4 linked regions of the Saccharomyces cerevisiae S288C genome follow. Changing the gene in region 3 together with the main gene of any one other region gives a genetic interaction. Each region holds a gene or a part of one and is shown on either strand. Other genes may lie near its edges.

Region 1 (3,472 bases), on a different chromosome or scaffold from region 3:
ACCTGAATCCGAAAGAAGCGTAAAATGTCACTCATACATGTCATTGCACATGAGCATTGTAACCGGTATAACAATTTTTACCTTTGGTAAGTGTATCCTAGATGGATTCAAAGCATGAACGACGAAGCACGTGACACGTTCCCTTCAAACATCACAATTATTTAAGCGAGACTAATATATATGTTTAGCGAAAAAAAAGGCCAAAAAAACTAGTAAATATACAAAGCAGAGTATTTTTGGCTCTTGTCCACATTGGATAAGAGAATATTTATTTTTCACACAGAAAAAAAAGTTATATACGTATCTCTAAGAAAGTCAAAGACAAATTACGTAGAATGTGATTCATTCCCATTTCGCCCGTACACTCTCTGTCTCTGTCTCTGTCCCAAACTTCCCTTCCTATACGTATTCATAATCTGCTTAAACGTCAACAGTAGTTTCGGAACATCTTCATACGTAGGGAATACGACTTTTTTCTTTTCACCTGCAGCTTGAGCCAAACTAAAACTGGGATCCGGATAAACTATTAATAAAGGATCGCAAAGTCCATACGCCAGTTTAATGGGAATGAAATGATATTGCGAAGTGACGTCAAGAATCGACTTTAAGCTATATCCGAAGTCAAGAAAGCCGAACCTTACATGCGGTCGGAAAGCAAACGAGGAGATTAGATTGGTTTTCATATCCGCTAAATTTTCTTTTGATTTTACTTTGGCTTAATCTAATGCATGTATATCGGAAGAAGCAACCGATCTGGCCCAGTTGAGTCGTGCTACCTTAGTCATGCCCAGGAAAACCGGATTCCTTCTTTTCATTATGACATCCGTTTAGGTCAATAGGCTTTTTTTTCTCTCGCCCGTGCCTCTCCGTGTTCGATGAATGTGCAGCTTGCCTCCGAGCGGGCGAGCCACCTCGAGCGGGTGACGAAATAGTGGAAAAGAAACGGGGAAGCAAAACTGTGCTGTTCTGGCCCGCAGCGGACGAACGTCATTAAAGGCGCTCCATTTCTGTCGTGAGGGTCTTTCGGTGCGGTGGTGAGGCTGCGTAAACAAGCTTGCTCTTCATACCCCTCCCGTGGAGCTAGTTCGGAAGGACTATTGGCGCATCTTCTGTTGAGAGGTTCCGTAATTCTCCGTAACGTCCCGTTCACCACTTTGCATGTGCTCTCACGTACGGCCGTCTCTTTTCGGCCTTCGGCCCGTTCCGATTTTTGTACCCCTTACGTGCTTTGAATTCTAGAAGGCATCTCCTCTCCGATGGCTTGGTACAGGGAGCACTAGGGAAATTGCACATGGAAGTATCTGGAATACAAAGTTTTTGAAAAGAAAAGCCGAGCGTAATATTGGGACAATACCCAGTTCTCAGCCTTTTCAGCGCGGGTATGAGACAGCTTGCAACAGGTAAAAGGAAGTTAGAAGGGTTAGGTGAAGGGAACGATGATGCTGCCTGAGAACAAAAATGCAGCTTCATGTTACATACAATAAAGGAAGGATAATTAAGGGGACCATGCAATAAGGGACAACTTAATTTTGGAAAAATCGGAGCTTAGTTGCATCTACCTACTAATACTTTCCCCAAAGAATAATAATACGAGTACAATACATATATATATATATATATAATATACACATGTAAGTGATGACTATTCTTAATACAAAAAAATTTCCCTTTTATAATAACTATTCTTAGCATTAAATAACCCGTTACTGACAAAAAGCATATAACATAGGACTCAAGATCGACTCTCATACCCTCCGAATCAAATTCTCACTCGTATACGCAATCATTTAAATAAGCACATCATTATCAGCATATACCGAATAATAAAAAGCAAAAATGTATACAAAACTAAGATCTATACAATCAGGAACATTTAGCACAGTTTATAAAGCATGGAGTACTACACATAACCGCTACGTCGCTTTAAAGATTACTCCTAAATACAAAACTTCAGAAGCCAACATGAAGAACGAGTATGATGTAATGAAGATTTTGAGTTCTTGTAATCCTCACCCCAACATCTGTTCGATGCTCGACTTTTACACGGATGACTCGTACTACATCATGGTGCTAGAATACTGCGAATGTGGTGATCTTTATGACTTTCTAGATATTGCTAAGAGTCAAGGTAGCCCGTCGTCTCCATCTTTGATTCAAATTGATATGCAAAAGATAATCAAACAACTGTGCTCAGCAATCAGCTTTGCTCACAGCTTGGGTATTGCTCATCGTGATATCAAACCAGAAAATATTTTGCTAACGATAAATGGTGACATCAAGTTGGCAGACTGGGGTCACGCTATCCAATCCCCTAAATCTAACGACTTCCAGATTGGTACCGATAATTACAGGGCGCCAGAAACTTTCTCTGGCCGCGTTAGTAACTCTTGTTTTAAGAAGAATTTCGATCGGTCATCGGCTCCATTGTATAACACATACCAAGCTGACTATTGGTCATTGGGTGCCACCATATTTTATCTGATGTTCGGCGATTGCCTTTTTAGAGTCTCCAAATCAAAGAAGGTTCAGCATCTAAAAAATTTCGATGAGTTTGAAAAAGATCCATTTGCATTCATTTACAGGAAATACGTAGTACCAAGGCTCTCCTGTGGTTACAATGATGAAGAAGACCTACACGTTAGCCTGCAGCATACGAGGCAGTACATATGGCAAGATCTACCCGACATTTATGATGTCTTCCATTTGTGCAAGATTATGGTTGATACCTTATTAAAGGTATCGAACGCTAAAGAGAGGTCGATGGAGAATTTCATCAATGAAGTTGATTCTGCATGGAACAAAGATAGCTCGATGGACAGCTGCTTCTCGTACCAAAATAAGATTGATCTGTTTTGGGAACAGTGGTCTGTGAACACGGAAACAGTACCAGCAAAGTTCCAATTGAAAAATTTTGAGAAACCTTGCCTAATTCAAGATGGAAAATAAGAAGTAAAAAAGACCTTTTGAAAGTTTCGCCTCATTTTCCTTGATCTGACTTTTTATCCCCTGCTTATCCAATTTTAGTTAGGAACTTTGGCATAATTTCAGTATTACATACTACCTAATCGACATAAAATAATATTACATATTCATTTTTTTAAAAAATAATCATAATCAATTTATCCTTTTTATTCCTTTTTTCTCCTGTGCAAGGTTGATGGTGATGTTTATGATGGTGTGTTTATTATTTACAAATAAAGATGCTATCTAATTCTTGTATATCGTATTAACATGCAAATGCACCGCGAGTGGCAATTTTCTTCTCGTAATGGATCAGTTCAACATCTTCAATGGTATGAACCAGAATTTTCGAATTTTCTTCGTTAAATTCGAATATGAATGTTCCCTTAATCAGCCGGGATAATCTCTTTTTTTTACTTCTTTTACCGTCGCCATCATTTTTCTTCTTCTCATCTTCTTTGGAATTTTGAGTTTCGTTGACCTTATTTTCCATTGACCTTTCAGCTGCATT
Region 2 (3,137 bases), on a different chromosome or scaffold from region 3:
CTAGACTCTTTGAAGTCTGTCAAGGGTGGCGCAGATGTCGAATCAAAGTCAAGCAATTTCTCCTGTAATGCTTTGAAAGCTTTGCAAAAGAAAGGGGGTATCAAGGGTGAATCTTTTGTCTGCAAAAATGGTGCATCATCCACATCTGTTAAACTATCGTCCACTTCCAAATCTCAATCAAGCCAAACTACTGCCAAGGTTTCCAAGTCATCTTCTAAGGCCGAGGAAAAGAAGTTCACTTCTGGCGATATCAAGGCTGCTGCTTCTGCCTCTAGTGTTTCTAGTTCTGGCGCTTCCAGCTCTAGCTCTAAGAGTTCCAAAGGCAATGCCGCTATCATGGCACCAATTGGCCAAACAACCCCTTTGGTCGGTCTTTTGACGGCAATCATCATGTCTATAATGTAATGGAATGAAGAAATATTCTTCATTTTTGATAACTAGTACCTGTCATTCACGACATGTGAACAAATAAAAACATTTATTTAAAAATTTTATGTATTCAAATATTTTCGGGAAAGAGATAAAAGTAACGACACTTAAAAATTTAAAAAATCACAATACTTTATTTACTCAGTCTTTTGATCAGCTCCGGCACCTCCTTGTTGTTGCTTCTTTGCTGAGCCCGCAACAAAATTGTAAATCAATAGGCCTAAAAGTAACATTTTCCAGTTCTTTTGAAACCAAGACACCTCCTTAACCTCTTCATCTTCTTCGAATTGTGCAGTGCTTCCATCCTTATTCTTACTAGCTTTTTTATCAGCATAAGTTTTGGTTTTCTTCTTTAATTTGGTGACTGGTGCAGTAGGTCCCGCTTCTGGATATCTGACTGTAGCAGTAATAGCATCGTTAGTCTCGTCATATGATAACGACACTTGTTTGACCTCATTATCTTCATCTACATCCACAATTAAATCGTATTTTAGTGGTGTCCTCAGCTTCATGTAGCTAAAACATGGCATATCCAGCTTACCTTCAATCTGGGCATTCAAACAGTATTCTCCAGAAACTTCAACATCCTGTATATTAACGGTTGTTACTGTAACATTCCCATCGGATGTACTATCAATCTCAAATGTTCCTAGGGGTATAGCGTCTTTCGCATCATCTGAATAGCTTAATTGTAAAATATCAGCACAGAAAACCATGCTGGCCAATAAAATCACACGCAACAGCCGCACAAGCATCTTTCCTTCAATGAGTATTGTACAGTTCTTGTTAGATAGTGTTGAATAGTACCACCTTGTTTTTTTACTCAAAGTGTCTTTTATATACTTCTAATTATTCCTATATTTGGTTGGGTTTTTAAGTTACCAATGCAAATACAGTGGTTAGAGACCCAGCGCACGTATGCAAAAAAATACAGCGGAAATTTCAAGTAAAAATGTAGCTTCATAAAAAAGAAGCAGATTCCCTAAAATAAGCAATAGATCTTCACATATATCGTTATCATCCCCTTTCTTCCCTGTTTCAATGCAAGCTAAAATTATATATGCTCTGAGCGCAATTTCTGCGTTGATTCCGTTAGGATCATCACTATTAGCACCTATAGAAGACCCCATAGTATCGAATAAGTACCTCATATCTTACATCGATGAGGACGACTGGAGTGATAGGATATTACAAAATCAGTCTGTCATGAACTCGGGATATATAGTGAATATGGGCGACGACCTTGAATGCTTTATTCAAAATGCAAGCACTCAATTGAATGATGTATTGGAAGACTCAAATGAGCATAGCAATAGTGAAAAGACAGCATTATTAACTAAAACCCTGAATCAAGGTGTTAAGACAATTTTCGATAAATTAAATGAACGGTGCATCTTCTACCAAGCCGGATTTTGGATTTACGAGTACTGTCCTGGCATAGAATTTGTTCAGTTCCATGGTAGAGTAAATACAAAAACTGGTGAAATAGTAAATCGAGATGAATCTTTGGTCTACCGCCTGGGAAAACCAAAAGCAAATGTAGAAGAGAGAGAATTTGAACTACTTTATGACGATGTAGGATATTACATCAGCGAAATTATAGGGTCAGGTGATATTTGCGATGTGACGGGGGCTGAAAGAATGGTTGAAATACAATATGTCTGTGGCGGCTCAAACTCTGGACCATCGACTATTCAATGGGTGAGAGAAACAAAAATTTGTGTTTATGAAGCCCAAGTTACCATACCTGAATTGTGCAATTTAGAATTACTAGCCAAAAATGAAGACCAAAAGAACGCCTCACCTATACTTTGCAGGATGCCCGCAAAATCAAAAATTGGTAGTAACTCTATTGATTTAATCACCAAATATGAACCGATTTTTTTAGGTTCTGGAATATACTTTCTAAGGCCCTTTAACACCGACGAAAGAGACAAATTAATGGTTACTGACAATGCCATGTCAAATTGGGATGAGATTACGGAAACATATTACCAGAAATTTGGAAATGCCATAAACAAAATGCTTAGTTTGAGATTAGTATCGTTACCTAATGGACATATTCTCCAGCCTGGTGACTCATGTGTTTGGTTGGCGGAAGTGGTTGATATGAAAGATCGGTTTCAAACCACTTTATCGTTGAACATACTTAATTCACAGAGAGCAGAGATATTTTTCAACAAGACGTTTACATTTAATGAAGATAATGGAAACTTCCTATCATACAAAATTGGGGATCATGGCGAGTCAACTGAACTTGGTCAAATAACCCACTCAAACAAAGCAGATATAAATACCGCAGAAATTCGGTCAGATGAATACTTAATTAACACTGATAATGAGCTATTCTTGAGGATTTCTAAGGAGATAGCAGAAGTGAAAGAATTATTAAACGAAATCGTAAGTCCACATGAAATGGAAGTAATATTTGAAAACATGAGAAATCAACCGAATAATGATTTTGAACTGGCGTTGATGAACAAGTTGAAATCCTCATTAAATGATGATAACAAAGTTGAGCAGATAAACAACGCAAGGATGGATGATGATGAAAGCACTAGTCATACAACCAGAGACATCGGGGAAGCTGGATCACAAACGACAGGGAATACTGAATCGGAGGTAACAAACGTAGCAGCTGGTGTTTTCATCGAACATGATGAGCTTTAAACAAGGAGGAGTATAAACTTTTAATTTTTTTTTTTCAC
Region 3 (3,763 bases):
TTCTGATTTTTGTTTGGACTTAGATTTGTTTTCTGAGCTTTTTTTGGTGAATTGGATCGACTTTTCCTGATCTCAGCAGTCGGTGGAGTTGGGAGAGGTTTTGCCATATCGTTCATAACCAATACTATCCTAATACGAATACCCTTTTGCCATGTAAAGAAAACTTTTATAGAAGCAGCCTCTTGCCTCAAAATTCCCAAGCGATGACTTTTGGCGGTTTCAAGTTGTCATCATTTGCGAATGTTTCGTTTTTTTGTATTTTTCTTTGCTTTTTTCGTAGGAATACGCCGGAAAGTAAACAAATCAACAAAAACGCATTCAAAAACGCCTTGATATCTTTTACATATACATAAGAACACGTCCTTGGTGTGTGCACATGAAATTGTAAAATCTAGTGCTAGCAGGACTCTACCAAAAGTAAAGCTGAAAAATTTATGGCACTTTATTTACACGTATAAAATTTTAACGAAACAAGTATATATTATGAGAGGGGAAATGAACAGAATATATAGAAATATACTCCAGTTGCATCAATAAGTCTATTCAATAATACGTGTGATTAGACCGGTACCAACAGTTCTTCCACCCTCTCTGATATTGAAACGTTGACCAACTTCTAATGGGGTAGGATGGATCAAATCACATTCCATTTCAACATTGTCACCTGGCATAACTTGCATAGAATGATCTTCAACCTCCTTAGGAAATCTCATCACAACTGTAACATCAGCTGTTCTTATAAACATTTGTGGTCTGTAGTTTTCACCAAACCCAGAATGTCTACCACCTTCCTCTTTGGATAAAATGTACAAAGAGGCTAGAATCTTTGTATGGGCTTTAACGGTACCTGGCTTAGCTAAGACCATACCTCTCTTCAATTGATCTCTCCTGATACCTCTAAGTAAAACACCGGCATTGTCACCTGCCATAGCAGAGTCCAATTCCTTTCTAAACATTTCAATACCAGTAACTGTTGTTTTCAATGGGGTGGAGTTGTGACCAACAATTTCCAATTCCTCACCTTTCTTTAAATTACCCCTTTCCACACGACCAGTGACCACAGTACCTCTACCGGAGATAGAGAAGATATCTTCAACGGGCATCAAGAAAGGCTTGTTCAAATCTCTTTCAGGTGTAGGAATATACTCATCCACTGCATCCAAAAGTTTCATGATGGCCTGCTCCCCAATTTCAGGTTGGCGACCTTCCAAAGCGCAAAGGGCAGAACCCATGATAATTGGAGCATTATCACCGTCAAACCCATATTCGTTTAAAAGTTCTCTCATTTCCATTTCGACTAACTCTAACATTTCTGGATCATCAATGGTATCAACCTTGTTAACAAAAACGACAATATGTTGGACACCAACTTGTCTGGCCAAAAGTAAATGTTCTCTAGTTTGGGGCATTTGTCCATCGGTAGCAGCTACAACAATGATAGCACCATCCATTTGAGCAGCACCGGTAATCATATTCTTGATGTAATCAGCGTGGCCTGGACAGTCGACGTGAGAATAATGTCTCTTGGCCGTTTCGTATTCCACGTGTGCAGTAGAAATTGTAATACCACGAGCTCTTTCTTCCGGAGCCTTATCGATGGCAGCATAGTCCAAGAAGTTGGCACCACCTTTTGCGGCTAACGTTTTCGTAATGGCTGCGGTTAAAGTTGTCTTCCCATGATCAACATGGCCGATCGTACCTATATTTACATGCGGTTTGGAACGATCAAAAGCAGCTGCATAGGAAGTAGTAGTTTGAGAAAAGGTCCTAGAAATTACTGAAGAGAGCCTCAGAAGTTTCCCAGAAGCTTTAAAAGCTGTTCTTGTGAGTAATCTTGGTAATAAAGCTGACATTTTTGTCTGTTACCTTTGTCGAGCTAGAATAAAACTGAAAGCACAAAATAGTTTACAACAAAGAAGCTCAAATTTTTTCAGCTTAATCAGTTTCAAAGATAAAAATGACCAAAAATAGGAAAATCTGTAACCAGTTAGCAGCAAAAGGGAGGAAAGCCTGGTCGCGAAAGGATATATTGACTGAGGTCGGATGGGTGCTAAAACAAAATCCTTAAAAATATGAAAAATCAGCTCCAGCGCGGGTTAGTGGGAAACTGACCAATCAATGGGCAGCCTGTCAATTTCAATGCGGGTAACAGGGTTGTCAGTATAATAGACCCAACTTACTGCTTTATGTTTATGTATATGTATATATCAGAGACCTAATCGAGAATAGAGAAGTGCTCACATATTGCATAAATTGAAAAGTCCTCCAGAGGCGAAGTATATAAACTAAATGTTTTAAATGAGAAAAGCAGCTTCTTTTCCTTTCTTCCACGTAGTACTAAATCATGTCGGAAAGCGATAATTGCTTTTCTTCGTCGTCAATATTACTGGATGGCACAACTTCCGTGGCTTTGTTTTCATTTTCTCCAGGATATCGCGATGTTAGCACAAGCGTGATACAAAGTAGTAAGCAGGCGATGAAGAGACCAAATATGAACCAGGAAAAAGCCATACAGACCAGCTGCAACCTGAATTCTTCCGTCGTCAGATCGTGAGGAATATTTTTATCTTGGAATATGGACGCTGCGTCTTCTGGTCGCGAGTTACCCATTAATCCTAGCTTAATGCTGTTGCCGAAGGCTCGTATGGCGGACTTAAAGTAACCCTTCTCGAAAGGGTGATGCTCATCGCACAGTATCATGACTTTAGAATCTTCATTCGTGGACGAATTGTTTATCTTGGAAATAGCGAAGGTCGTAAAAGCCAAAGTCATCAATAAGATCTGTTACGTAGTATTTGAGAGAAGGAGTAAACTAACCTTGAATTGAGGTCTTGATTACAAGTTGCTTGCTTAGTGACACATTTGACAAGAAAAAACAGTAATACGCCAGAACATTTGCGGCCCCTTTTTATATCAAAAGTGCTAAACATGCTATTTAAGTATTTCTTTTGCTGTTGATACGCAATTTTCATTGCGCTGCTGCAGATGTGGTACCCTTTACCGCACAAAAATACTTCTATCTGGATATTATTCCGTGTACTTGGCGAAGAAGCCATCCCGTTTTGAACGCCATTGCCGCTAACCTCCGCGCTTTCGCTTGCAGCAATGGCTACATCCGCACGGTTCCGCTATTGCCACGACATTGTGGTGGTAATAGCCAAGGCAATGGTGTGTACAACTTACGATCCCTCTGCTTGCGGAAGCAGTCAAAAGGCAAGTGAGATCTACTCTATAAACTGACACTTTATCCAGGGAATTATCGAGAAAATTCTGTCTTGTCAATTAGAGAAGTAAGGGGCCACAGGGAAATAATACTTTCGAAGGGAGTTTCTTTCCTTAAGGAGGTGCAAAATGCAAAAGATATACAGTTTATAGGTTGATACACATAGAGCAAGTGGTCTCAAGTGGTCTTAATGAGTCACGGGAGGTCAAGATGCTCTTTTTTTCTTCATCGTTTCAGTTTTGTATCTTGAGCGGAGTGAACTTGCCCTTTAAGCGGGCCATACCCTTACATGGCGTTAGCACTTATTTTCAAGGTGAATATATACAATGTCAGTTACCCGTTTTTTTGTCTTCCGCTGTATAAGCTTGCTATCATTAAAAGCCGCATGTGGCATCCTGAATTCTGCCACCCCTTAAATACAAAAAATAGTGTAAATGGTACTTGATCTCTTCTGGAGGAATAAACAATAATTCTTGATGGAATTTGAGAGAAAGTAAGTGTTCGGCTAAGCACAATAAAGATATAAACCTGTGACTACCT
Region 4 (5,999 bases), on a different chromosome or scaffold from region 3:
ATGAATAACTCTCCAATGGGTCTAATAGGATTGGGAATTGGTGATTCCTTAGCATCTATTATTGGTAAAAGGTATGGCCGCATTCGTTGGAAAGGTACACAAAAAACTTTAGAGGGAACTCTTGCGTTTATAGTAACGAGTTTTATCGTTTGTTTGGTATTGTTACGTTTTGATAAAGCTGCAATTTTTAACCACCTAACTACTTTACAATTGCTTACCCTTTGTACACTGAGTGGAGTGCTAGAAGGTAATAGTGTGCTTAATGACAATATTTTGATACCTGCATTTATGATGATTTGTGAAAAATTAATTACTCTTTGACAAAGTCAATTATTTTCAACTTTTAAAATTACATAACTAATTGTTTGCATTTATGAATAGAATAAAGAAAAGAATAGAGCAGTAAAGAAAAAAAAATAATTGTAAGTATTTTTTTTTCGTTTTATATCTAGTACTTACACGTAGTATATACAAGTATGGGCTATAGATATAAAGAAAAATAATAAATAAACGAGATTGTTAAGTTAGCTCTCTATTTCTTACCATGCTTCTTTTTATTGTTGGTTTTGTTTTTGCTCTTAGAGTTGGAAGAATCGCCTTCTATAAATGTTAACAACTCATCCACACTTTTGTTAGCCAATTCAGGTTTAACGTCATCCTTCTTTTGACGGTGATTGGTTTTTTTATGGCCAGCTGAATTTGATCCCGTTGTCGACATTTGATCTTGTGCAAGTTGCTTCTTTTGTTTTAAATCCATTATTAATGAGCTTAAACCATTAACCCACTGTCTTGATTGGGCTGAGTGCGTGTGATTCATACCCAATTGCTTGGTGAAAATCCCTTGGGTTACAGTGATGTGCTCTAATGCACGGTGGAAATCCTTCAATGCTGCAAACAAATTACCTAAACGTGACTCGGTATAGCCATATGCTAATGAATCTTTGCCTTCTAATTCCACAACATAGGAGCTTAGTTGTCCCAAGACTTCAATAGCCAATTTGGTATCTTGAACACCTAGGGCTAATTGTTCCAAATGGTTGAAAATGCTTGTGGGGGCTGGGTGATGGATTTTTGGTAACTCATAAACTTTTAGGATTTCTGCGAGCCTATTATAAACCACAGTAGCGTTATAAGGACTTTCATTAGAGAATTCTAGAATTGCTAAATTAGTTAAAGCCCTCATCATTTCAAAAGAATCAATACCGCTAACTCTTTCATAAATAGTACATGCTTTACGACAGAACGCGATAGCTTCAGGGTATAATGCTAACTTATTATAAATGGCAGATAATGACAAGTACTTTTCAGCAACGGCGGGATGTAAAATATTGTTAACATCTTCTAAGACTGTAATTGATTGAGCGAGTAAAGTCAAAGCACTTTGTTTGTCTTCGTTGATCATAGAAGCACCTTGAGCCCAAAATTCCTCACTAACTGAAGAAGTATATTCTGAGAACTTAACACGTGGAATAATGGTCAAATCGCTTAAACTGAAGGTAGTTGGTGGTTCGACAAACTTGTTCCTAATTTTCTTGTCAAGACTTTGCTTATAACTTTCCAATTGTTCTCTAGTAAAGAAGTATTCTTTATTGAGCAATTGAATACCAAATTTGTAAGAAACACTTCTAATGAGGGTGAAAGGATTTTCCATGTAAGCTTCGATCCAATTGGATGGTAATTGATGACGGAAACGCAAGAAGGCTTGTTTAGAGACAGCTTCCAGCAATTCGGAGCGTGTTAATTTAGCAAATGAGCACTTATTGACTGGATAAAATTCGTCGACTGGTTCTGGCTTCGGATCAGCATTGTAGTTGATACCAACTAACATATTGAAAACGTATGCTACCAGTGATGGAACCAAGAAGACCGGAACATCTTTACTCAAATCTTTTAAAACATGTTTCAAAGAACGCGAAACAATTTCTAATTCGGAAATTTTAATTAATGGCACTAGCTCATCATAGGCAACGACCACAGGTTTTCCATCGGTGGGCTTTTTGATTTCTTCATCGTTTAATTTCAAATCTTCAGTTAGTTCTTTTGGAACCTCTTTGCCTTCTTGTACCAGCTTATTAATCTTGGCTTGTCTCTCTTTAATCATGTTCTCAATTTTTTGCAGATAAGATTTTTCCCAATCCTCATATTCTTTGTTGTCTTGTTCAACAGCTTTCAAATTTTGTTCGTAGTGGACAATTTGGGAGTCCAATTCCTTTTGAGAAAGCTCGATAATTTTACCCAAGTAACGCATGTTGATACCATTCTTATGTAAAGTATCGGCTAAATGTTCACCATTATAAGGAGTGCTCAAATTTCCAGATAAATAATCTTGAATAACGCTGGGAATAACTTCTTTTTGTAAGTAGTTCGACATTTCGTCAACATTAGCGTCCTCAATACCTTCGACCTGGTAAGCATCAGGGTTATAACTAAACAAATTTTCTTCATAGGCCTTTTCAAATTCAACACCTTCCTTCTCAACTTTATTATTCCACCACTTTTCTACTAACTCCGGACGTAACAAAGTTTGCCTGTGTGGGTAACGGTTTCCAGTCTCTTCGATGTTGTCAAAGTTTTGTCTAGCAAAGTTGATGTCCAAGGGATACGTGTTGGCTAAATCCAAAATATAGCGCCTCTTATCGAATCCAACTATTCCCTTGGATTGCGATGAAAATGCTAATTCAGTACCGTTGACTTTGTGCTTTTTCAAATGGAATGCCTTGACAAACTTTTTTTCTAAAACAGAATCAAAGTCAGCATCATAAACAATCTTTCCCAAACCTTCATCAAGGCCGTACTTTACATTAATATCATTGACAAAATCTTCGGTAACCTCTTCGCCGGTATTAGCATCTTTTACAATTTTGTTACCCATGGTAGCTAAGAGTCCAGGTACTGGAGTTTGAGCCAAAATTCTTCTGCCTGCAAATTCGACTACAGTTGTTAAAAGATAACGAACTTCGTGCATATGCAAGCGATTCAAAATATTGATTGTCTTCAAGTCTTGGTTGGAAGCAGCGATTGCAGCTTCATCCCCACCTTTCCCTTCATAATTGCCACTAACGTCGGAAACATAGGAATAAAAGATATTGTCTTTTAAGAAAATTTGATCCCGAGTTGGAGATTCTGGGTTCATTGCAACGAAATCACTGTAAAAAATTGACATAGCGCCTGATGCTGCAGTAACAGAAAATTCATGTACAACTTTAGAAAACAACCTTTCCATTTCAATACGATCTTGTAATGTTGACGTAGTCAAATCTTTAATGGCTTGAAATTCATCATTAAAGTTTCTTTCTGGCGTGGTATCCAAGGCGGCAGTTTGTAACCTCAGATAATCTGGGTTATTTGGTGGCAATGAAGAAACAAACCATGGTTTATGCAAGAAAGTATTGCTTGGTCTTACATAGCTTGTAGAATCTAAAGCAGATAGTTTTTTCTCGAATGCTTGGACATGAGAAATGAATTTTTTAGAGCGAGAAGCAATCAAGTCAAATAGACTGTAATAGATCAGGGATGAGTGCGCGTTCTCGTCAGTGTTTTCTTTTGGAGAAGGATCGAACTTAGTTGAGTTTGATTTATTGACATAGAATCCAGATGGAATTGCAGTGATATAGAAACTCTCACCTTCCAAAGTGACAATTTGTAGGTAAAATAGATGACCTTTACTTCTATAAAATGGAGGTACAGGATTGTAAGGTGCGAAACTCAAAGACCTGACGCACGGCGTGATGATGTTGGATTCAGAGGTGAGAAGTTTGTTAATTGAAGAATTCTTAAAGCTAGAAAACACTTCGTGAACCATCTCGTTAAATTTTAGTTTTTCCTCGTCAGTCACATCTTTGAAAGTATTTTTCTTTTCTTCTGGATCGCTCTTCTCGTCTTTTTCTTCTTGTTTTGAGCGTTCCTTGATAGGACCCAACGGTAACGAGGAAAAGCTTGAACCAGTAGAAATAGCAAATTCAGATAATCCATCTGAGGTTTCTTGGGCAAATCCGATGAAATCGCGAACAGTAATCACATGTTTCAAAGCCTCTCTTGCGCTATATGGCTTCAGTATCAATTGAAGTTTTAACTCGCTTTTCTCACCAACAATTTCCTTTATAGACATTTCATCAGATAGCTGGGAGTCACCTTCAATTGTTTTCAGCCCAACGTTTGTCAGGTACTTGGAACTTGGAATCATAGCCAACACATCTAGAACAGTTTGAATTTTGGATTCCTTGCCGATTTCAAAAGATATATCATTATTTTTTGAACTTTGGGTCTTTTTGAGATGTTTCGTATTATGCGAATGGTTATCTTCTTTTGGAAGTTTGACAGTCACCTTAACGGTGGCGTTTTTAACTTCTTCTTTTTTCTCGCTCATAGAGATTAAAGATATGCAGTCTCAGATAAACTGTAACACTACGCTGATTTGATTCGTTCTGTAAACAAATTACAGCTCAATTACTACTCTGTGTTTAGTGAACCTTATATCCAATCTTCACTGCAGACAATTTCCTTTTTTGAGAATACTTCGAAGCGTATAATTTCCAAGAAATGGTATCCGTTTTATTGGCCATGTTTGACCGGAAAAAACCTTGGTCGACGTGAAGAAAAAAATTTTCAAATTTCTTCAAAAAGAAAACTCCGCTACGGGGAGTCGAACCCCGGTCTCCACGGTGAAAGCGTGATGTGATAGCCGTTACACTATATCGGATTATATTTCACTGTTGATATTTTTCGTAGAGAACTCCTTATCGAGTTATTAAAGAAACGATCATATCAATTGTTCTATTTTTACATAACTACTCTGACATTATAGTTTCATAAAGCACTGCTACTTATATATTTGGAATTTCTGTGTACCTAATATTATAGTCCTTATCCCCAACGGTTGAACCCAAACAATCATCAAATCATGCACAAGTTTCTCAGCTATCCCATTTCAACTATGATAAAGGTTCATCTTCAAAGTGTATCCATTCAATCCAGTAAATGCAATCATTTCGCTGTATATGACGATATATTGGTGATATGAATGCTAGTCGATAGATTATTGTTTAATTTTGTTCTAACTCGCCAGAAAGAACCAACTGTTTACTTGAAGCTAATTTCCTTGCTTGGTTGGTGACTTATTTATTATTTTTCATAATTAGTTAATTAGTGATCATATGAAGTAATCAGCCACAATACGCCATTGATGCTTGAAGGCGAAAAACAATATATGATTACGTGATATGTGGCACAGTAAAGTTAAAGATTCATTATTACTTCAACGAGAAACTTGACGTCTCATGTATAAGGATATGAGTCGTTACATTGAAAATACAGTAAATGGTTCCACCATTATTATGTTGGTCTTGTTTAGTATGGCCGATCGGCGTGTGTTTTGTTTGCACCTTTTATATAGTAGAAGAATATTTGTCTTAATTCTTATTAGTACTGCAACCTAACCACTAATTATCAACAATTATTGGATTATATAAAGGAGGTAAATTGCCGGATTAAAATCAAATATCATTCATCAACAAGTATTCATATTGTCGGCATATTTTTACATGCGGTGTAAGTATTTGGATCGTATTCTTATAGTGTCAATACCTCGAAGCAGCGTTTCAAGTACCAGACGTATGTAGGAACTTTTTAACGTCGAGTCCGTAAGATTTGATCAGTATTAAAAAAATCTAGATAAATGAGTGGTACAAATAAAAACATCATTAAAAATCGTTAAATAAAAAAGTATGAAGATCATCTATTAAAGTATTAGTAGCCATTAGCCTTAAAAAAATCAGTGCTAGTTTAAGTATAATCTCTTATTCCTCGGAAACTCTTTTTTCTTTTGAGATCCAGCTACCAGATTTCCATGGTTTGACACCTTCAACATACATTTCATTAACTTCCTCTAATGTTAAGCCCTTGGTTTCACAGACAAAGAAAAACACGTAGAAGAATGAAAATACCAAACAGCCCATGAAGACATACCCGTATGAAAATCCAATTGCACTTGTAATGAAGGG

Evidence for each region.
Region 1: mutations in TUF1 (region 3) and FMP48 together harm fitness more than expected from each alone (negative genetic interaction), as found in Saccharomyces cerevisiae (one large-scale study listed by BioGRID).
Region 2: mutations in TUF1 (region 3) and EMC10 together harm fitness more than expected from each alone (negative genetic interaction), as found in Saccharomyces cerevisiae (one large-scale study listed by BioGRID).
Region 4: mutations in TUF1 (region 3) and CLU1 together harm fitness less than expected from each alone (positive genetic interaction), as found in Saccharomyces cerevisiae (one large-scale study listed by BioGRID).

What each region holds. Positions count from the first base shown.
Region 1 is NC_001139.9:591,760-595,231, forward strand, and holds FMP48 (protein kinase FMP48), read left to right. Parts: upstream 1-1,836; coding exon 1,837-2,946; downstream 2,947-3,472. Other genes in the region: SCM4 (Scm4p), read left to right, coding at 1-118; YGR050C (uncharacterized protein), read right to left, coding at 327-683; MCO32 (Mco32p), read right to left, coding at 3,227-3,472.
Region 2 is NC_001136.10:564,457-567,593, forward strand, and holds EMC10 (Emc10p), read right to left. Parts: upstream 1,185-3,137; coding exon 567-1,184; downstream 1-566. Other genes in the region: PST1 (Pst1p), read left to right, coding at 1-405; YOS9 (Yos9p), read left to right, coding at 1,471-3,099. UniProt on the Saccharomyces cerevisiae protein: Part of the endoplasmic reticulum membrane protein complex (EMC) that enables the energy-independent insertion into endoplasmic reticulum membranes of newly synthesized membrane proteins.
Region 3 is NC_001147.6:682,120-685,882, reverse strand, and holds TUF1 (translation elongation factor Tu), read right to left. Parts: upstream 1,854-3,763; coding exon 540-1,853; downstream 1-539. Other genes in the region: MSB1 (Msb1p), read right to left, coding at 1-116; YOR186W (uncharacterized protein), read right to left, coding at 2,338-2,772. UniProt on the Saccharomyces cerevisiae protein: G-protein that, in its active GTP-bound form, binds to and delivers aminoacyl-tRNA to the A-site of ribosomes during protein biosynthesis.
Region 4 is NC_001145.3:289,501-295,499, reverse strand, and holds CLU1 (translation initiation factor 3 subunit CLU1), read right to left. Parts: upstream 4,367-5,999; coding exon 533-4,366; downstream 1-532. Other genes in the region: SEC59 (dolichol kinase), read left to right, coding at 1-321; hexose transporter HXT2, read right to left, coding at 5,796-5,999. UniProt on the Saccharomyces cerevisiae protein: mRNA-binding protein involved in proper cytoplasmic distribution of mitochondria.